Arabidopsis thaliana: one gene and its partners. The protein of the gene in region 4 interacts with the protein of the main gene of each other region in a pairwise test. Each region holds a gene or a part of one and is shown on either strand. Other genes may lie near its edges. The genes, in order: GPT, AT1G65720, PIP1C and PIN5.

Region 1 (6,433 bases), on a different chromosome or scaffold from region 4:
TATATACATCCTCCCAAAATATTAATGATTCGTTTGCTTTACTTAAAGCTTCTTTGCTATATCCTCAAAGTTTAGCAATCCATGAAATAAACAAACGTGTTCACAACGTAATTCAGATATAAGCCGTCACTATTTTTCCCCGTTCACATCAGCCTCACTTGTAGTTTTGTCTCAATCGAAATCATTGTTTTTATATTTACTACAAAAAAGAATCTAATAATTGAGATCGAATATAGAAGAAAAATGAAATACTCGTTGTTACATTTGAAATTCGTAACGTATAGTGTCTCTGTCTGTATGGATGCGTGACATGTAACGTTGTTACAATATATCTTGGTTATCTATATTTTATTTCTTACTAGATAAAGCCCGCCTAAATAAGCGGGTATAAGATGTAAATGTAATTTTTATCGATAATATTTAAATTTTGAATAGTAAAATAATAATCGATACATTGTTCTTGATATATAATTTTGAATAGTAAAATAGTAGTCTTATGCATTTTATTTTGTTATACCCATTCAATCTTATTGATGATATTTGAAGTCTAAATAGTAACCTACACACTTTTTCTTTATTGTAATTTAGTATTTAGAAGAAAAAATAAAATTTTATCTTATACATTCAATTTTGTAATACAATTTAACTATCTATTTCATAAAAAACTCGATTTTAATTTTACACACTTCATCTTACTTGATAATGATTTCATGTCAAAATAATATATATATATAAGATCAAATCTATATCTTAGTTAATATTAAAAATTATTAACAATTAACAAAACATAATTCATAATAATAAAACATTTGTTAATACCATATATATTAAAAATTTGACCAATAACATATATATATATTTTTTTTGTTAATTTTCCTTTTGGTTAAGAAAAATAAAATGTAATATTTTTTAGATATAGAAATATGAATTAGTATATGTTAATAATGATTTCTTTTTTTAGTTTTCTATTTCTTTAAGAAAAAAAAAGTTAATTATTTTCTTACACATGGCAACATCTGATCGATAGACTTGACACGTGGCATAATCTTATGAGTTAGTAACTTTGAAAACCATACTTTATATAATAAGATTTTTTTTTGTTAATTTTTCTTTTGGTTAAGAAAAATAAAATGTAATATTTTTTAGATATAGAAATATGAATTAGTATATGTTAATAATGATTTATTTTTTAGTTTTCTATTTCTTTAAGAAGAAAAAAGTTAATTAATTTATTTTTTAGTATTTCTATTTCTTTAAGAAGAAAATGGTTAATTATTTTCTTACACATGGCAACATCTGATCGATAGACTTGACACGTGGCATAATCTTATGAGTTAATAACTTTGAAAACCATATTTTATATAATAAGATGTTGATTTATTCTTACTTTTTTTGCTATATCTTTCCTTATATTTCATACTTAATATTTTTTTTTTGTTTCTAAGATACATACATTAACTCTCATATTTATTGTCTTAACTAAATTTTACTTTTATTTGTACACGTGGCTTCCCCCCACAATATTTTTGACCCAAATCCAAAAAAAAAAAAACACTATCAATAATATTTCCTCTTACCATTTATGTCTTACACACAAGTGTCAAAATATAGTAGAAGACATAGAAAATGTTTAGATTATGATTAAATATCACAAAACTTTTGTGACATAAATCATGATCCATATGCATCCAAGTTCTAATAATAGGTCGATTCGATCTTGTAAAAAAAAAAAGTAATTAATAGTAAAAGATTTTGTATTGAATTTTGAGATATTTTTCTCTCACTATAAAAAGATGAATTGTGTAGCTAGAGATCATAACAAACTCTGAGGAGATTCAAGCTAAGGTACATTTACAAAAACTTATTTTAAATTACAATGGGTTGTTGCATTTTCGAAACTGATCCTACAGACCAATAAGTACTATTCAGTTAATTTGAAAACACTTACAAAAAAAACTAAGATATAATTTAGCAACTTTAACATTTTTTATTATGTTTGTAGGGACATTAATGGGAAACTGGTGTAGTTGTGTAACAAAAGATGAAAATAGTGATAATTCTAGTAGCTCTCAAACTTCTACGGATAAAGAAAGTAGTGTGCAAGTTTCTTCTGTGAGCACTACGTCTTCTTCAGAGATTTCATCTGAATGTTCTTCTTCAAAATGATCATCTCAAAGCTCCCAATGATGGAAGCGTAACTAGTGAGCAAATGTCGCATGGATCATCTTCTTCATCTTATCAATAAAAAAATCTTCAAAATAAATAATTTTCTATGTCAATTTTTATATTAAAAGAAACTTTGTTAAAAATTATGACTATTAATTAATAACTATATTATTACATAATCTTTTAAATATAAGTTTTAGTTTTAATTTTTAATAGTTGCTTTATGTCATGCTGATGTGTTGCTACAACAAAATTCTTAGCAAAATTTATGCATTTTTTTCTTAAAAAAAGAGAGTTCTATAAGTATAATCCAAGATATATTCTTGTACTTAATACGAATAATTAAAGTTATGATTAATCCATAAAGTTCTATTTCGATGACACGGTGTCGTATTTGAAGCGACGTGGCAAATCCTTATTGGTCTATATGACGCAGAACGGGAATTGCTCTGAAGAATCCTTTCTCAGGCGAACGGAGTTTGGAGTCAAAATCCAGAGCGCGGGGAAACGAAACGAGCCAACAAATCCGCCATGGCAGCTCGTAAGAGAGCTTCATCGATCTCAATTCCCAACAAACCGGACCCGTCGGAACCCAACTCAGCGCCATCGGAGCAGAAGATGACCCGAAAGACGGTTTCTGCTTCCGGTGAGGAATTTCGTCTCGCGCCGCCGAAATTAGGAGTGATCTTCGTGATCTCTACTCTTCTCTGTTCGCTCTATCTATACCTTCTCTGTTTTCACTACAAGGTTGATAATGAGCTCAAGCGATCGATTCTAATTAACGCGGGGCTTAGCTTGGTTGGGTTTTTCGTCACTCTCAAAATGATTCCTGTTACTGCCAGATACGTTCTGAGACGTAACATGTTTGGTTTTGATATCAACAAAAGAGGCACGCCTCAAGGAGATATTAAAGTGTGAGTTTTTATCAATCTCTGATTTTCCAAAGATTAAGATTAGTTTGATTAAAATTTCTTCATCCTCTTTGTTTTCAGGCCAGAGTCATTGGGTATTGTTGTTGGTATTGTCTTTTTGATCGTGGCGATAATATTTCAGTATTTTAACTTCACTGAAGATTCTAATGTAAGTGTGCATTAACGTCTTGTTTTATTAATCTCTGTGGTTATTCTCATTATCAATGTTTGTGAGTCTGGCTGATGATTCTGTGCAGTGGCTTGTGGAGTATAATGCAGCACTAGCATCTATTTGCTTCATGATTTTGCTTGGATTTGTAGATGATGTCCTTGATGTGCCTTGGAGAGTGTAAGTCCTAATTCCTACATATTTTTTTGATGAAATTCACGCTTATCGTTTTTGATTCACATGTTTACTGTTGTCAATTTAAACAACAGAAAGCTTGTCCTGCCATCTTTTGCTACCCTTCCACTTTTGATGGCTTATGCTGGTCATACAACTATTGTTATACCAAAACCTCTTGTTGCTTATATTGGCTTGGAAGTGCTTAATCTAGGTAATGGTTCTTGTACATGATACCACCTATTTGTACACATTGACTTGTATTTTTCTTTTGAGGAGGTAAATGATTATGATTAGCTCAATAGATGTTTTAACGTGGCAGGAAGGATATATAAGTTATATATGGGGCTACTTGCTGTCTTTTGTACAAACTCTATTAACATCCACGCTGGTCTGAATGGCCTTGAAATCGGTCAAACAGTTGTTATTGCCGCTGCTGTAAGTCTTATGGTCATACATAATGTCTCTGAATTTTTCTCATTTTGTTTCTTTTGGGTTGAGATATGATGCATCCCAGTTACCTGTAGATCCTGATACACAACGTTATGCAAATCGGAGCATCTGTTGATCCCGAGTATCACCAAGCTCATGCCTTCTCGATATTTCTTACTCAACCGCTGATGGCCACATCCTTGGCAATGCTTGCTTACAATTGGTAAAATCCCTAGCAGGCTTTCTCTTTAAAACTTTTTTTTTTTGAGTGGAAGTAATGATATTTCTGACCAGTTCTCGCAATCTTCTGCTGTTAGGTATCCTTCTTCAGTTTTTGTTGGAGACACTTACACAGTCTTCGCCGGAATGACTATGGCAGTTGTTGGTATTCTGGGTCACTTCAGGTATACTTCCAAACCCACTTATCTTCTCTGAGGCACAGGCACTTCACTAATACATGGAAACTACCAACTCTTAGATTGATCATTTGCATCATATATCCAGCTACTGTATGACCATGCAACTGATTCCCATGCCATCTTTCTGTATTGAAATTTTGCTTCTGCAGTGAAACCCTCCTCATCTTCTTTCTTCCTCAAGTTCTGAACTTTCTATTATCGCTTCCTCAGGTTCATATCACCTTTTCACTCTTCTATGGCATACGTATAATCTTGTCAACTCATGTTTCAAAAATTTAACATACTATATATGATAACTCTTCAGCTTGCTGGGATTGTGAAATGTCCGCGCCATCGTCTCCCAAGGTAACCCCCTTTGTTTTCTTACCCTTTGTAGACTGATTAAAGAACAGACGCATCACTCATCTTGTCTTTTGAAAATATCCAGGTATGATCCTGCTACCGGATTACTGACCGGCACAAAAGATGGGACACTCGTCAATGTTTACTTGAGGTTGTTTGGTCCTAAATCAGAAAAGTCTCTTTGCATCCATCTTCTCGTTTTCCAGGTAGGTCTCAGATATATGTATATCGCCATTCGTATATAATGAAGTAGTCGCTTTAGTGTTGTCATACTCTGCTTGTTTTTGCTACAGGCTCTAGCCTGCGCCTTCTGCTTCATACTTCGACACTTTCTTGCTGGTTGGTATAAATAGTCTGCAATCAGAGAAGTCACAAATACAGAACATTACTTTAGTACCTTGTACAATCGTATATATCAACAATTTTTGTTAACGTGTTGAAGTATTCTCAAGTAAACAAAGTTCATTCATTTGCTTTTTGTTGAACGAAATGGCAAAATTTTCAAGACAATGTATCAGCATCCTGAGTTTCTATAATTCCCGACAAGAGATCAAATACAATTTAATGAGTTTCTCTAACAAGCTAATCTCGAAATCCCTAGATCCCAAGTTTTTTTTCTTGCACAAACATGAAAAATGAAACTAGAGATCTATGTCCATTGTTTCTTTCTCTTCGTCTTCATCATCATTTCCACTGCTTGTCCATAGCTTGATGGTGCGATCATGTGATACAGTAGCGATACACGAGCTATCTGCTGTGATATCTAGAGAGGCGACTTTTGACTCATGCCCTGCTAAGCTTTTAACGAGCGAGAAATCTCTTCCTGACCATATCTGGTAGACAAAATATAAGAAATTGGAATCAAACTATAAGCCAATGAAACAGAAGACTGAAAAAAAAAAAAATACTAAGGCAAGGGATTATAGAAGTAGTTACATTGACTTTCATGTCGTATGAGGCAGTGGCCAGAAAGTAGCCTTCTTGTGGCTCATACTTCACTTGAGACACAAGGTTAGCATGAGCTGGTATAATGTACAATGACTTTCTCATTCTTAGATCCCAAATACGGCATTGATTATCCTCCCCACCAGATGCCAAGTGATAACCATTAGGAGAGAAATTCACGGAGAAAACCTGAAGAAACATATAAAACAGAGGATATTAAAACAAGGGTTAGTAAATAATCACTTTTGCTTGGATACGAGGAGGACCAATGGAACAAAATTAGAATCTTACCGGTTTGATGTGTCCTTGGAAGACAAGAATACTCCTACCAGTGCGGAGATCCCAAACTCGTGCGAGTGAATCAAGCCCACAAGAAGCTGCTAATGCTCCATCTTGTTGAAATGCAATTCCGTAGACACTGCGGCTATGGCCTTCTTGCAAAAGCAGTTCTGCTCCTGTGTTTATATCCCACAATCTCCACGTCTTGTCATAGCTTGTAGTTCCCAGGTATTTCCCTGATGGGTGGAAAGCAACACGTGCCAGACGATCCAAATGACCTTCAAACGTTTGTAGGAGTGTTCCATCAGTTTTCCACAGCTTTGCAGTTCGATCAGCAGAAGCAGTCGCTAGACAATCATCCACTGGGGAGAACACTACATCAGTTGCACGTTCTTTGTGATCCTTCAAGACAGCAATCGTGTTTGTAACTTGAGGCATCTCCCACAATTTAGTAACTCCACTCAGAGAACTAGACAAAAAAAAAATCGATGAATTACTAAACAGAAGGGAACTATGTGAATCACACAAGTCATGAACCTAGAGAATGCGTAATGCAGTTAGAAAGGGCAAATGCAATAGACATGGAGTATGCTATC
Region 2 (5,048 bases), on a different chromosome or scaffold from region 4:
CTAGTCTACTATAAATAAAAAGTTGAAGCTCCTAATTAAGTGCCGTAATCAACTAATCATATGCTAAAACATCATTGACTTAGACCTAAATACGAATCTCACGCGTCATGTTCTCTATCAACTTGCCGTGTAGATATGGTTCTTATTTTATAACAAAAAAAAAAGTCATACACATTGCTCTCGGATATGAATCTCTCACGTCACTCACTAATCAACTTTGATTTTGACATACTAAAGAAAGTATGAAGTATCCACTTGATTTTGACATACTGCAAAGAAGTATCAAACCCATACACATTTATTTTTATCAAAAAAGATCGTGTGATATTAGTTTCCTAGTCTAGGTTTTAACTTGATCGGTTTTAATTTTTTAACTATTGCACATATTATATTTTTTAAACAACTATATAGTTTATTTAATTTTCATATTTTTTTTTAGAAAGCGATAAACACAAAAAAGAAGTATATACTCTGTCATTTTCAATAGAGACCTAACAGCAAAAAAGTTTTAGCCGTAAATAGAAACAAAATTAAAGACGGCGACACCAAATTCCATCGACGCGTTCACATCAACAAACAAAAAAACGTACCGCTAAAGGCGATGCCGGAGGAGGCGACGACACAAGTCTGAATCACAGTATTCTCTTGCCGTGTAAACGGTTGTTTAAGAAAACCAGCTTTATTAAGAATCTTAGTCCAACTTTTAACAAAGAAGAAACCAAGCAAACCGGCGGAGATATTCAGCGACGGAATAATCCCAGTCGTTAGATTCAGTTTCATCACCACAAAGGTAAAGAGAATCGCGAGTATGAAACTCACGATTAGAGCTCTGAACGTGAGCTGTTTTTGCCACGGCGGTGGGATTTCGTTACTCTCTTCGAAGATTCTCTCCACGGAGATTTCTTCTTCTTCGTTGGATTTAGATCCATTGTTTAGATCGTCGTCTTTCTTCGATCGTTCGACTTCCATAGCTGAGAGTTTTTGATTTGATTTGAGTCAGATCTGAGGAGGGGAACGAGAGAGGGAGAGATTTTATAGAGGAGAGGATCTGAAGAGAAGAGATCGGCGAGAGAAGAGGACGATTTTCTTGTAACTGAATGATTCTCTCTATTGTGTGAGTGAGAGAGAGAAGCGAATCTGTTTTAATATTTCTATATTTATAAGTCAAATGTGTTTTTTTTATAAATAATTAACCTACGTGCACGTGGACTATGGTGTGGTGTGTATACACAGTGTAAAATCTGAGTTTTTTCTTTGGTGTGGATTTAGAGTTAATTAAATTGATACGTAAATGGATTTTGGAATTTAGATTATGACATGTTTACGTGTTAAACGAGCCAATTATGACGGGTCGTAGATTGTATTAATCTTAACAGAATTAAGTTTTAGTTGCAAATGTGTTTTTTTGAAAAGAATTAAAATATTAAAATGAAAATACACGTAAATATTGTTTGAACATTTGATTTCAGAACAATAGTCGTTTATATAGTGAGTTGTTCTTCAAATTACTTTTAATTTCGGAGTACTTAACTATTAACCAATATTTTTTATAATTAAAGATTACAAGGGAATTTTACTTTTTCTACCACAATTTTCCCAAAAAAAAAATATTTCTATCGCTTTTCAATAGTACCAAATTATTTATGTGGAAAGACCAAAAAAAATAAAAACTATGTGTCCAAACGTTTACACCGATTTGACATTTTCATTTTTATGTTCTCTCACTACATTGTTAAAGACTCTAAACGTGAGCTGGCTTTGCCACGAAGGATGATCCTCATGGGCTCATGGCTGGCCTCAAAGATTCTATCATGTCATGTCGTGGCATTTGAGATCGTCATTTTTTTCCTTTATCGCTCTGTGACCGCTGCTAAATTTAAGTCTAACCTAGCTCTTTGTTTACAAGAAAGGAGAGGATTATTTTAAATAAGAGAAAAGTTGGAATATTCGAAAGTGTCGTGCTCTTATTCTATGGTACGAGACTATGAGTGACTAGATAGAATTTTCATTTAGATTCTCTAACCATAATAATTAGGTAAAAAAATCTTAGCTATTAATATTGACTAATAAATATAAAATGTGAAAGTTTGACTATACTATATTAATAAACAAATGGTTAACTTGATATTGACCATGAATGCATCATTAACTTGCTTAGAATAACAAAAATCTTATGAATTTATAACTACTAGAAGTTTGATTATATGCGAGGTGGGTTCAGACTATTCACATATTACACAAACTATTTGTGGTATTAGAACTTGTATAACTTGGACAAAATTCATATCAATTAACAATTAACCTATTGAAAATTAGATAAATAGAGAAATAAATCTATTGTTTGCTTATGTGAGTATAAATAATGAGATTTAGACTTAAAATAGTTAAGTCAAAATTAAATAATATTTTGGCACCTTTTATAAGAAAAGAAGATAAAAGGGACCTATATGATCAAATACAAAAGTAGAGGGGTTATTTCATAATAACACGTATCTTAGAAAATCTTTTTAATCTTCTTCGTTCACCGAATCTTCTTGGGTTAGGTTTGTCTTCAAAATCGTCAGAAGAAGAAGAAGAAGTCAAAGACGATAACAATGACGTCATCATCGTACCTCCGATTTGCGATCGCCGTCGTAGCTTTCCTCTCAATCACCACCATCACCACCGCACGTCCTTGCAAAACCTTCCTAATCTCCTCATATTCCCTCTCAATAACCCCAGAAAACCCTAACCTCGAATCCGATTTCACCTCCACACGATTCGTCACCGTTTTCACAATCCGTCGTCTAAATCCTCACCACGTGGTTCCTTTCTTCGTCAATCGTCGTCACGAGAAGCCACAGATCCAATCGGATCGTTCCCTCCCTTTGATCTCTGATAACATCAATTCGTTTAGAGATCGAACCAGAGATATTCTTAGCGTCGTCGTCGCGCTTTTGTTCGGTGTTGGTTGTGGTGCTTTAACCGCTGCTACTATGTATCTTGTTTGGGCTCTTGTTGTGAATCGTCAAAGCTATGATTTTGAGGAAGAAGAAGATGATTATGAGAATGATGAATCTGATGCTGCTAGCTTGAAGAAATTGGGTTATGTTAAGATTCCAGCTCCAGCTCCTGCTCCTGTGAAGGAAGCTGCTTGATTTGAGGTTGTGAATTTCAGTTTCTGCATATTATCATGATTTACGTTGTTGCTTATCTATGTTGTTGCGTACAAGTAAATTCGTCTCTGTTATGGATTTATCTAAACTTACTATACTCTAAGTATCAGTGTTTTTACGATTTGTAGTTGATGTTTCTTAGATATATATAAGTGTGATTATGATGTTACCTATGGATTTATTCATTATCTTTGATACCAATGTGACTAGTTTAGGAGCTTAATACTTAAATGGATTGATCATCAAAGGAACCAAGGTCGTGACTCGAGAAGTCTGTTTCTTGTTTTCTTTCTGACTTGCTAGAACCTAACTTGGTCGCAGGATATGTGTATGGTTCTCATAGCCCCATTTTGTGGTTTAATAGCTTTCATTCTTTCAAGCACTGATTAGCTAGAACCTAAGTAGGTCGCAGGATATGTGTCTGATTCTCGTTAACCAATCTGTGTTTTGAACAGCCTTCAAGCATTGGGAGTGTCTAGTTTTCTATTGCTTATGGTCATATGTGTGTATGGTTCTCATTGCCCCATTTTGTTGTTTAATAGCTTTCAAGCATTGCATACTTAAGGTAGTGTCTAGTTTCGGTTCCGTTTCTTGTAATCTTACTGACTAGCTAGTAGCTAGACTTTTTAAGTAGGTAGCAGGATATGGGGATGACTCTGGTTGACCCCAATCTGAGTTTTGCATAGCTTTCAGAGCATTGAGAGTGTCTAGGTTCTATTGCTTATGGTCATCTGTATATATGGTTCTTATTGCCCCATTTTGTGGTTTAATAGCTTTCAAGCATTGTGAACTTTAGGCAGTGTCTAGTTTCTGTTCTGTTTCTTGTTATATTTCTGACTACCTAGTAGGTAGACCCTTTTAAGTAGGTCGCAGGATATGTGGATGATTCTCATTGATACTAATTTCTGATTTGCATAGCTTTCAAAGCATTGAGAGTCTCTAGTTTCTATTGCTAATGGTCATCGTTGTGTATGTATATAGCTTAAAGGTTGATGTCTTGGATGCAGAGGAACAATTAAGTGCCTTATTCTCTCTAGTCTAGTAGTTATTTGCCTTGTAACAATCCTTTGTTATGTTACTATTTGATTTGAGGTTGTTTTATGTATGTAAAATCCAGTACCTAATTGTCTTGGTAATAGAATCTATAGATGTCTCAAAATCGGTCCGATTTTCGATTGTCAACACAAATGGTGCAAGATTTTGCTTTCTACATATATACTCTTTTCTTAAAAAACTACCTCAAAAGAACCTAATTGTCTTGGTACTCTTTTCTTAAAAAACTACATATATATTCAAAAAAACTACCTCAAAAGAAATTGTTTATCGTTTCTTTTTCAGTATTTTAGTTATCTGATAAAATAAAATAAAATTGTTTTTGGGTCCTCCACTATACATATGAAGAAACTTGCACATCACCATTCAGTTTGGTCACATGAGTTAATATTAATGAAAGCACTCGATTAACAACAAATATCATTAATCAAACTCAGTAAATTATTTATACATAAAACGAAATTTTATTTTCAATAGAAACTACTGATGTTTATTTCTTCATATCCTAATTTGTAACCTCATATTCTTTTGGTAAACAAACAAAACCATCAAACATGCAAATAACCGTTGGAATTCTAAAACTTATTAAAAGAATTTTTGAAGAGAACCATTTTGCTTTGAAAAAGGCAAAAAGGGTCAGAGATAATACGACATTGACTGCAGTGTGTATAACGGCTCCAATTTCAAAATTACTATCTTTAATAAAATAAATTAATTCCACTTTGACCCCATTATTCTTCAAAGCTTACAATTTCACCCGACTTTTCTTAATTTTAGAAAGTAATGGGTCCTATCCGAATACTTTCTGAAATAAAAGAACTTTTGTCTGTCACAAATCGC
Region 3 (5,389 bases), on a different chromosome or scaffold from region 4:
ATATTTAAGTTAATATGAGTGATTATTTGATTAGGGTATTTATTAGATGATGGAATTTGGTGTATACATAAATATAATTTTGGTCACACGCGGTTCAGTTACTTTCTTTTTGTTGATTGACATGAAAGAAAGTAGTTTAGTAGTTCACCTAAATGGAAGGCTGTATAATTAATTGGGTGAGTTATTATAAATTTATAATATGTGGGTTGGCATTGTGTGTATATACTATATAGTATCCAACTATACGTGAAACATTAAAGTCGACGGCCGCCTGACCAAGTTAATTATATGAAAATGACTTTTATATATTGGTAGCATTTAATTTTGATTGCAATATTTACGTATCAAGGAGCCGTCGACAGAGTTATAATGCTAATTGAGTTAATTGACTTTATACTAGGTTTAAATAATTAACTCCTTAATTTATAATAATTAAGGGATTAAGACGGTTTTCTTTTTCTTTGTCCGCGTATCATGGATGGTCACTCAAATGTCAATGGTATATTAATAAAACGGTAAAATAGTTGGGAGTTGGAGAGCCATTGAGCCATATGCATTCATACTTACGGATATGAGTGTAACAGTATTCCCCTAGTATGAGTATAATAACTACTTACACGCTATGGAAATTGAAACTGCATCACGTGAACCTTAGCTTACAAAGAAAAGTGACTTATGCGTGTATACATATATGTGTGTTTGAGATAAATTACCAAAATATGCATGCAATTATGTACAATGAAAATTATGAAATAGAATTTATTTCCAAGAAGATAACAAACTTATCATAAACATTCACTTTGAAGATATGAAACTGAAAAGTAAAAACTAAAAAAAAAAAAAGGTGTGAAGCAGTGGGTAGGTAATCCACTTTGACGAGGTTATTGTAGAATAAGTAAGAATGTTTTATCTCAACTTGGTTGGCTATCTATCGCAACAAATTAAGGTGGAGTGATGCCGTTGATGGACATATTATGGGATACTAGTTGTATCCATAAAGAGTGCGAAAAAGGCCCAATGTAAATGGGCTTAATACCCACTTGGTTAACGTGGCCCATAAAGAGTGCGCAAGAGGCCCAATGTAAATATGGGCTAAATACCACGTAAACTAGTTGAGTCGATGACCCGAGAAACCAAGCCGAAACAATATGGATCTTACTCAATTTGTACCGAACCAAACCAGAAGAAAATCAAATTAACAAATTCCTCTTGAAAATTTCTCGAGTCTAACGACAAAAGCAAAATTAAAATCGTACCAAATCAATCATAATATCAAACTCCATTTAACGATAAAACCAGATCATCCACAGCAAATAAGAAAAAGACAAGTCCATTAATTAAAATAAACACATGATCCAGATCTCTCAAATATTTTCAAGCTCAATTACAAACCAAGATGCAACAATGAAGTTTTATAAAGAAAGAAATCAAATCAGGATCTGGACTTGAATGGAATGGCTCTGATGACAAGTTGGTGGTAAAGAGCCGCAAGAGCTGCTCCAATGAATGGTCCGACCCAGAATATCCACTGCAAACCACAATCAAACCACAATCAAACCAAAGTGACAAAGACATATAGAAAGACAAATCAACCAAATGATGTAATGGGGTACTCACGTGGTCGTCCCAAGCGTGGTCCTTGTTGTAGATGATTGCAGCTCCAAGACTCCTAGCTGGGTTAATTCCTGTTCCGGTGATTGGAATCGTCGCCAAGTGAACCAAGAACACAGCGAATCCGATTGGGAGTGGTGCCAAAATCTGCAAAAAAAATAACCCTAAATTATGAATCTTTTTCTAAACACCCAAAACAATAAATTAAGAGGAATCAAAACAAAATTATACCGGAACGTGGGAGTCACGAGCGCTTCTCTTGGCGTCAGTGGCGGAGAAGACCGTGTAGACAAGGACGAAGGTTCCGATTATCTCAGCACCCAAACCAGAGCCCTTAGTGTAGCCGTGAGCGACTGTGTTGGCTCCTCCGCCGAGAGTTTGGTAAGGATTTGGCTGGAAGCCTTTGACAACTCCGGCGCCGCAGATGGCTCCGAGACATTGCATCACGATGTAAAAGACAGCTCTCGTCAATGACAGCTTACGAGCCAAGAACAGACCAAATGTCACCGCTGGGTTTATGTGCCCACCTGTGAAACACACACACACACACACTCATCAGAATCAACTCTAAATTAAGATCTCTTTGAGAAAAATCGAAAACTAAAAGCAGAGCTACAAGGGTTTGAAGCATGCAACAAAAGACCAATTCTACTTGTATTAAGAAGATAAAAAAAATGGGGTTACCAGAGATTCCAGCAGTACAGTAGACAAGGGCAAAGATCATGCCACCGAAAGCCCAAGCAATGCCTTGGATTCCAACAGAGGCACACATGTTTGGTGCTCTCTTCACTCCCATCACTGTCAATACTGTTATGTATAGAAACAGGAAGGTGGCTATGAACTCGGCGATTCCGGCTCTGTAGAAGGACCACGAACTCAGCTCGCCTGGCTCGAAAAATGGAGCTGGTGGTGGCTCCTTGTAGTCTTTGTCCGTCTGAGCCGATGTACCTATCGGTTGCCTCTCCGGGAACTTGTTAGCTCCCACTCGAACATCCTCTTCTTTCCCTTCCATCTCTATCTAGAAAACGTTCAAGTGTTCTTTGCTTTTTTTCTTCTTTTCTACAATGGGTAATGAGAGTGGCTGAGATAGAGAAAGAATGGTTTTATAGAGGCGAGAGAGAGAGAGAATAGAAAAAGCAAAAAAAACTAACGTCTCGAAACTATTATGATATATTTAAATAATGAGAAATACAGGGAATCATGGATAACGATGATCTTCGTAAAAGCATATTTATTTACGTTAATAATTGTAATAGCCTACTACTTGATGATGTTTAATCATGTAACACAACCCACGCTTATACTAATTCTGTTGCGTTGGCTAACTATTAGTATTATATTCTGAAACTCCTTATAAAGATAGCATGTTTGACCTAATTTATTCTCAAATGCCTTGCTACAGGAGTACTACTCAGTCAGCAGTTAGAAATGTAAAAAAAAATATTACAGTGCCAGAAAACTCACAAAGGACTAACTTTTTGACTAGTCGACGAATTAATAATTTACTTCCGACCGTTGGAGAAGAAAAGGAAAAGAAGTGTGTGGAAAGCGATTGCTTTATGTAAAGTAACATAGTCTCGAACATTGTGCCGGGCCTAGAGTATTTTTAAAATGTTTAATTAAATTACTATGTGTACTACTAGTGACAAAATAATCACAATGATTGTGAATTTGAGGTTTTTCAATTAAACGATATATATTTTAGAAAAAAAGAAAATGAAAATTGGAGATAAGGTTCAATTTTGCGGGGGTTTCCAGCTCAGAAATGGATTTTGCTTTTCTGTGATCACATGTTCGTTTCCCTATTCCCACTTTCCTTTTTCTATCAATCTATTCAAACCTAACAAAAATAAAATTCAAAACTCTGTTGTTGTTATCAATTCACATATTTTTAACGCTATATGAGCCATACTTTACTAGTTAAATGGAGTTTAGTGTTTAGGATTCAAACCCTATTAGTTTTGTTGATGTTGTCTTACCCGAACAATAATTGAATTTATAAACAGATTAACTCTATTGTAGATATCGATTTTTAAAAAACTGAAAAGGGAAACAAATAATCCGAAGCTAAACTATATGATTAAGAAACACCTTTTATTGAACTAGTGGTGGGGTTTGCCATTTTTCGAAACGCAACCCACACACACACATCACAGTCGTCTAGCTGCCCAACCAACAGAATCACGACACGTGGTTGAAGAGGCAAATATGTGTTGGTGGTGTTTACTGGGGCGGTCCCGACCAAAGTCCGTATATGACATCCTTTCTCAGTTGTACAAATCACATTTCATTATAATTCATTTCATCGAATTATCTATCTTTTAAATTTTATCAATATCTTTTTTTGTTAGAGGCGTGGACCGTATGAATGTATGATAGTATAGAAATAGAAATAATAACGTTGGCATTGTTATTTAACAAGCAAACAAATGATTAGGTTGATTGATGAACAAGCAATGACTAGGTTGATGAATTTTAATTGTTACTGACTTTGTCTGTGTACGTAGCTGGTACTTAGTTGGTACATGCCTATCAAAAGAAAAACTAATATTTTGCAACGAAGCAGATCCTTCATTGCTTACATACATGTGGAAAAAGATACGATCAATATTTTAAAAAATCGTGAATTGAATTTTGTTTTATACACACAGACGACAGACAAGCTTCTGACGTGGGCTCAAAACACTAAAACGGCCTCTGAATCAGTCAACACTTTGAGGCATGAGAGATTGATTAAACCACAGACCAAGTCTTTACGACAAATCAACTCGAGCCCAATAGGCTCTAATAAGGCCCAATACGATATAATCGTCTTCTTCCTGTAGAGTCGGGGACCTGGGATTAGTCAATAAATGAGTAGAATTTTTGTAAGGAAGAGAGTAGTTGGTGAGCGTCGCCATTGAAGGGGAAAGCAGCCCAACTTTGCATTGAATGACACTTAAAATCTTTCTCTCAGCAGCTGTCTTCATTTATGATCGATCCTACTTCTTTCTTCTCTCTACCAATTTCAAGATCTGGTCGTCGCTCACAGGAGAAACGTAATGGAAAACAAAGAGACCAAGCAAGAACCAGCAGCAGCAGCTGAGCAAAAGACCGTTCCGTTGATCGAAGATGAGATCGAGAGGAGCAAAGTCGGGATCATGAGAGCTCTCTGCGACCGACAAGATCCTGAAACTAAGGTCCCTATCGATTTCTTTAAGTAAAAAAAGAATTCAACCAGAAAAGTATTGATTTGATAAAAGCCCTAATGATTTGGATTTGCAGGAGGTGGATGATCTGATGATAAGGAGGTTTCTGAGAGCGCGTGACCTGGACATTGAAAAGGCTTCAACGATGTTTCTAAATTACCTGACTTGGAAGAGAAGCATGCTCCCAAAGGGGCACATACCAGAAGCAGAGATTGCAAATGATCTATCGCATAACAAGATGTGTATGCAAGGTCATGACAAGATGGGTCGACCTATCGCTGTTGCCATTGGGAACAGACATAACCCTTCCAAAGGCAACCCTGACGAGTTCAAGCGTTTTGTTGTCTACACGCTCGAGAAGATTTGTGCTAGGTGAATAATAATAATATTACTACATACATTAAGTTAGTGTGGGTATATAAGAAACCATTTATGCTAATGCTCTTTTTTTGTTTGTTTGAATGTTGTCATGTTAGAATGCCGAGAGGTCAAGAGAAATTCGTAGCAATTGGAGATCTGCAAGGCTGGGGATATTCTAATTGTGACATCCGTGGCTACCTTGCTGCTCTTTCCACTTTGCAGGTTACTTC
Region 4 (5,783 bases):
CTTGCAAACGAGGAGGGTTTGCAACAAAAGATGTTCTCGACCAAGAATAAGACGGTTGACCAGTTAGAGATTGAAGAGCAGAGTAAACCGGAGAGCCACGAACAGAAACCATCAAGTTGGTTGATTGAGTCTGAGGGTGATTGAATTTACAAGTTCCCCCAAATTTACATTGTCCAATTCTCAAAAAGTAAGAGCAATCATCTTCGTTCTGCAAACAGAACTCATGAGAGAGGCAAAATTTTACAAAGCAGTGGTGAGATTAGAAAGTTGAAATGTATACATACCGGACGTAGAGGATAGCTTAAGACATTAACTGATACACTTCCATCAATACCAGCTTTGTTCCTAGGATGATGAAACTTGCAAGTCACTCCGAATTTGCAGGTCCCTGTCTTCAGATAAAACTGCACAGACACAACAACAAAAATAGAAGCTTTGAGACAATGTGATAACTAGAAGACATTACTATGATAGTAATTCGAAACAGAGCTACCTCACATTCAGGCTGACCAATTCTTTCAGGGTATTCTCCTTTAATCCTTGCAGTTGCTATAACCTAGAAATTGGATACGAGACTATTCATCAGCTTGTAATCACACACACACACAGACCCTCAAAGCTACAAACTTTGAGTCAACAAGATACAGAGGAAAGAACAAACACAGAAACAGAGTCAGTACCAGTTTCCGGTCGTGAGGATGATTGAATCGGCAAGTTGAACCAAACCTACAAAGTCCAGTCCTTATATAATAAGCACAATCTGGCTCTCCGTGACGTTCCGGATAAGACCCATCAACACCCATTGTATCATCTGATCCCAAGTTCATTTGCCACATTGCATCTAAAATTCACAAACCCAACCAAAACCCCACAACAAAAATTCAAGCTGAGGTTTTTAAGATTGAATCAGAACATCAGAGAGGGAATAAAGGATGGTACTTTGGTTAAGCAATGGGGAAAGAAAAGTGCTTTCCCGAGAAATGGAATCAAAATCCATGGAGATGATGAAGAACAATGGCTGTGTCGGTGATTATTAAGCATTAAGAACACACCATAATTCTCTCACTCTAAGAGATTTTCCGATGGGAAGTCCCATCGTTTCTCTTGCTCCCAGGAATCGTCTTCCTCCGATTGTGGAGGGGTTAGAGGAAATGGCAATGCAGGAAGACATTAGAGAATTAGAGATCACGTCTAGAGAGAGAAAGCAGAGAGAGATTGGGAAGAAAGTGTTGCGTTCTCTTCTCTCCTCCACACAAAAGAAAGAAAAAAAACTAAAGAGATTCGGTAAGAAAAACGAATTCGAAAAGACTAAATTACCCCTTTTATCTTCATATTGATTCGGTTGAGGAGAAAGAATAATTTATTTCATAAATCCTGATTTGGTTAGTATGTATGATCATGAATCAAATAATAACAAGATTTTATTTGATCTCTAACCTGAATTTCGTTTCATTTATTCTTTTTTTTTTTTTGTTAACAAAAAAAGGGCTTATAATATTTAGTGTACGTATTAAAACAATTTTAGATCCGAACATGATGTATTTTCATTTATAGAGTTTTTATCTTTTCTTGATACGTATATGTGAACAAAATACTAAATTATGCATACTACGAAAATAAAGAGAGCTTAAGAAAGTATAAAATTAAGCATAAACTAGGTTAATTCATTCAGTTAATGGTTTTCATATCTCGAATATACTTCAAAATCTCCTTTAGGAGGAAAGTGTAAAAGAGATAACAAAAAAAAAAACTTGTGAAAGATGAACAAAGGGTAATATTGATGATATAATCGAATTTATTAGTTTAATCAATGAATAAACTCCAGAGCTGCGTAGTAGGCGACGAGCACAGGTAGAGAGACCAACATCCCAAATATCACCCTACATTTATCAAAATTTTAATTTAATTTCATATTACCATTTTCTTCTTAAATAGACTGAATTTTTAAAATTTGGACTTACGCTGTGCTTAGAACATCTGCATGTAATCCATATTCCTTAGCAAAAATGAACGAAGTAATCGATTGTGGCAAAGCAGCCTGTAAATTTCATATAAATATTAATGATATATTAAACTGAAAAATATAAAGTTAGTATCTTAGTGGATGAATGAATGGAAAATGATCTACTTTTTTTTTTATATACAAACTTCAGTAGAATTAGGGTACAAAAGGATAAAGTAGAATTTATGACCTGAATGATGGCTACGCGGAGGACATCACCGTGGAGGCCAAGGACAATAGAGCCGATGGCCATGGCCGCCGGTCCGGCAATAAACTTCAATACCATTCCCATCACAGTCAAGCTTGTTCCACATACTATCAACTTTTCTTGAAGTGCCATGAATATTCCTGCGTATATATGCATGTATTCACTGTTATCTCAATACTGATACGTAATCTTTACGTATAGAAAGATACTTGCATGGACATAAATAAACGTACCCATATTGAACATGGCCGTTCCTGTTCCTGCTTTTGACATTATAAGAATCGAACCCTCTAATATGCCCGGCAGCTCCAGATGCCATCTATATTTCCAATTAATTTCCATCAATTATTAGACTTAAGTCTTTATTTGTTAGCCAAGAGTATACAAAACACTAATCAAAACCCTAAACCCAAAATTCACACTAAAACAAATAAAATAGAAATTTGGTCAAAGACTCTAATATTCAGATTAAAATCATGATTAGTTTATTTGCATGTACATGTCACGTTTGCAAATTATGTTACCATGTTAAAAATGTCCTAGTCATTTGTCACATGGAAATATAAACGCAAATGCAAAGAAACAATCGTGACCTATATTTCTGTCAAAATTTTAACTATAGATCATCAGGCGCTACACAGAAAAGTAATAATTTAGATGGTTTAAACGTCAAACTATAGATATTTTTAGGCAATTTTAACGGTTGCCTCGGAGTAAGGGGTGGAATTAATGTAGTCTCCTGAGTCCCTGATCACACATACTAATTAACACTTTGTTAAACATCTTATAGGTACCAATATAAAGTTTAATTAAAGATTCATTTTTACCTGTTAGAAATAAAAGCCCATGCGATCCCAAGGATGCAAGAATAGCAATTTGGATTCGTTGCAAGCTTCAACCAAACGAGGGACATGACCTCAAGGAACGACTTCTCTCCCACAACCACAGTTTCTCTTTTTCCACTTTCGATATTGATGTTGTCTACTTGTACGTCGCTGATATTATTACTACTAAATCCGGCTTTTCTAAACTCTAAGACAAACAACAAGAGTGTGAGCCACACGATGGCTTGAAATACCGAGGATTGAACCACCAGATCAACAGCCTGTTGTCCGTACATTGCCTTAGCCAATGGCACACCAACGACAAGAGAGTTAGTAAGAGTGCATAGAGAGAAACTAGTAATGGACCAACAATAGCTTCCTTTGTTGCTATATTTGGCCCACAACGCTAAGACCGTGACTATGATGACCTTAGAGAGGACATCGGCCGCGATGAACCGGTAATTCATGTTGAACGGGTCGACATGGGCCGTGAACTCAATGGTGAAGAGCGGCAGGGTGAAATAGCAAACGAGACGGTTTATAGCATCACATTGATCACGCGTGAAGATGTGCCACCATTTCACAGAGCCATAGCCTAAGATTAAGGCTACATAGAGTGGAACCATTGCTTCGATTACCTTGTAAACATCTCCACAATTTATCATGGTTTTATCAGAAAAATAGAAATGTTGCAGTAGTAGCAAACGAAAGGAAAGAAAACAAAGCTTCTAAATTCGTTCGTAGATAGTAAATGTGTTACGATAGAGAAACCAACATGTTCATATTTATAGATAAATTTTTAATTGTTTTATTTGTTGTAGAAAAAAGATAGGTAATGAGATATCCATGAGTAATATTCAAACAAAAGTAAAGTTTAGATATAAATTAAACAATAATATTTTTTTCTTCGGAATATGATTACGAATATTTATAAATAATTTGGCTAAATTCCTATAGAATAGATACAATTGAAATTTGAGTCTAAATATTTAGATAAAAAAATTAAAATCAACCTCATATTTTTAGCCATTAGTTTAATTGAGAAACAAGAGAGTTATCGTTATCAATATAATTGACCAGACCGTGCCGTGGCATATGATTCTATTCCAATTGTTTCCTGTAAATAGTGAGTGTAGTGTTTGTGTATGACGTAAACATTTCTTTCAATATTTGACTATATTAATTAATGGTAATGTCGCAGAATAAAGAATGAGGTTGCAGCTTTAGCACCATAACTAGAAGATCGTCTCGACCAATATATGTTTTTGGCTGTCGTAACTCGTCGCCACAACACATGAGACTAACCAAATAATATATTTTCAATAATTTATTCGAAATATTTGCTTAATCGTTTTTTTCTTAATCTTAATATTTATATTTATTAACCACTTTCATAAAATGGGAGCAGAACTATGCTAGTGCATGTAATATAAGTAAAGTGCATGGAATAGTTTGTATATATGCCGAAATGGGTATTTGTGCCCTACGACCTGGCGATAGCAACCAATTTCATAACCGACAAAGAGAGATTTCTTATAAGAAAATGAATTTCACTTACTTATACCTAGTGATGATTTGAATGTTTCAATATATTCATGGTTTAAGAAATAACATGTCATGGGTTTTAGAATATGTTAATATATAGATAGATAGAGAAGTCTACAAATAACTTACTTACTTTTATCTTAAACCATGTTTTACGTTGTTTTTTATGTTTCGTTCGATAAAAAATCATATGGCCATGTCTTTCTTCTTTGTTAAAATATCAAAGAACCATATTATACTACGAGCTAGCGAAAAATCTATCATCGTGAGGATTGAGGAAGCCATTCAAGAACTACAAAAGTTTACAGAAAAATTTGTACCTCGTGCTCTTGTCCTTTCTTGCTAGACAACAAATTTATTATTTGCCTTCTGGACTCTAATATAATCACAACAACACATATTGCTAGGTGCAATATCATCATATTAGCACTTTTTAATTCTATGGTATATTTTTGTTTTGTAACCATATATATTGTCCATTCACAAAGTCTTTTCTATTACACATATTCATGATGAGAAAATTGATTTGATCTAATTACTAGAGAATCATGCAGAGGCATAAAATGATCTGGAAAGCATTTATTTATCATTTGATTTGATAATAACATTTTATGGAAACACCTATCTTTACCAAAGATTTGGAACAAATAGAAAAACATAAGCAAACAAATATATATAGTCGGACTAAAACAAAAACAAAAAGGGGGATTTGACTGATGGAACAAAAGTTAAAATCGGTGGATTAGAAATCTGTGAAAACGTGGAGGATGCTTATTCACTGGTGAAATTGAGGGATCATATATAAATATGAATAATAATGCTAGTAGAATAAGTTCTATTTATCACTTGATGATTACAAATCTATAATATGCTTTCAAATTTCTCTCCTGATGTGTTGATATATATTACAGTCTTTTTAATATCAAAAAGGTTTTTGTCTTCTCTCATTCATTCATTCATCGTTAATACTTTTGTTTTTGTGTGACATATTTTCATTATTCTTCTTGAATTATGTCAGAAATAGCTAGCTAGCACGATTGGAAAGTTTATTCAAAATCCATCTTATTTGTTTTGTACTTTTGACGTCATGAATATTATGTTGATGTTTTTTCCCAAACCACAAAAACAAAACAATCAAAGTTTTTCAGACCAGAAAACACTATATGTTGGGGTTTATACTGTTCTTCCTAAATTAGAGTTCGAA

What was found.
Region 1: the proteins of PIN5 (region 4) and GPT interact in a protein complementation assay, tested with the Arabidopsis thaliana proteins (one large-scale study listed by BioGRID).
Region 2: the proteins of PIN5 (region 4) and AT1G65720 interact in a protein complementation assay, tested with the Arabidopsis thaliana proteins (one large-scale study listed by BioGRID).
Region 3: the proteins of PIN5 (region 4) and PIP1C interact in a protein complementation assay, tested with the Arabidopsis thaliana proteins (one large-scale study listed by BioGRID).

The regions. Positions count from the first base shown.
Region 1 is NC_003071.7:17,299,065-17,305,497, forward strand, and holds GPT (UDP-glcnac-adolichol phosphate glcnac-1-p-transferase), read left to right. Parts: upstream 1-2,507; 5' UTR 2,508-2,697; coding exon 2,698-3,080; intron 3,081-3,158; coding exon 3,159-3,246; intron 3,247-3,334; coding exon 3,335-3,426; intron 3,427-3,515; coding exon 3,516-3,634; intron 3,635-3,742; coding exon 3,743-3,858; intron 3,859-3,947; coding exon 3,948-4,075; intron 4,076-4,169; coding exon 4,170-4,256; intron 4,257-4,420; coding exon 4,421-4,481; intron 4,482-4,575; coding exon 4,576-4,616; intron 4,617-4,698; coding exon 4,699-4,819; intron 4,820-4,906; coding exon 4,907-4,966; 3' UTR 4,967-5,147; downstream 5,148-6,433. Other genes in the region: LIS (WD-40 repeat family protein / small nuclear ribonucleoprotein Prp4p-like protein), read right to left, coding at 5,255-5,446, 5,550-5,747, 5,850-6,306.
Region 2 is NC_003070.9:24,438,560-24,443,607, reverse strand, and holds AT1G65720 (uncharacterized protein), read left to right. Parts: upstream 1-2,534; 5' UTR 2,535-2,594; coding exon 2,595-3,137; 3' UTR 3,138-3,956; downstream 3,957-5,048. Other genes in the region: YSL7 (YELLOW STRIPE like 7), read right to left, coding at 591-969.
Region 3 is NC_003070.9:224,554-229,942, forward strand, and holds PIP1C (plasma membrane intrinsic protein 1C), read right to left. Parts: upstream 2,991-5,389; 5' UTR 2,624-2,990; coding exon 2,296-2,623; intron 2,139-2,295; coding exon 1,843-2,138; intron 1,759-1,842; coding exon 1,618-1,758; intron 1,529-1,617; coding exon 1,433-1,528; 3' UTR 1,112-1,432; downstream 1-1,111. Other genes in the region: AT1G01630 (Sec14p-like phosphatidylinositol transfer family protein), read left to right, coding at 4,653-4,790, 4,876-5,171, 5,276-5,381. UniProt on the Arabidopsis thaliana protein: Water channel required to facilitate the transport of water across cell membrane. Its function is impaired by Hg(2+).
Region 4 is NC_003076.8:5,398,651-5,404,433, reverse strand, and holds PIN5 (Auxin efflux carrier family protein), read right to left. Parts: upstream 3,795-5,783; 5' UTR 3,700-3,794; coding exon 3,038-3,699; intron 2,530-3,037; coding exon 2,444-2,529; intron 2,351-2,443; coding exon 2,193-2,350; intron 2,039-2,192; coding exon 1,962-2,038; coding exon of another isoform or gene 1,958-1,961; exon of another isoform or gene 1,881-1,957; coding exon 1,808-1,880; 3' UTR 1,589-1,807; downstream 1-1,588. Other genes in the region: ZFN3 (zinc finger nuclease 3), read right to left, coding at 1-208, 285-404, 494-556, 681-841, 940-997. UniProt on the Arabidopsis thaliana protein: Auxin transporter regulating intracellular auxin homeostasis and metabolism. Mediates the auxin transport from the cytosol into the lumen of the endoplasmic reticulum. May also act as an auxin efflux carrier when located to the cell membrane.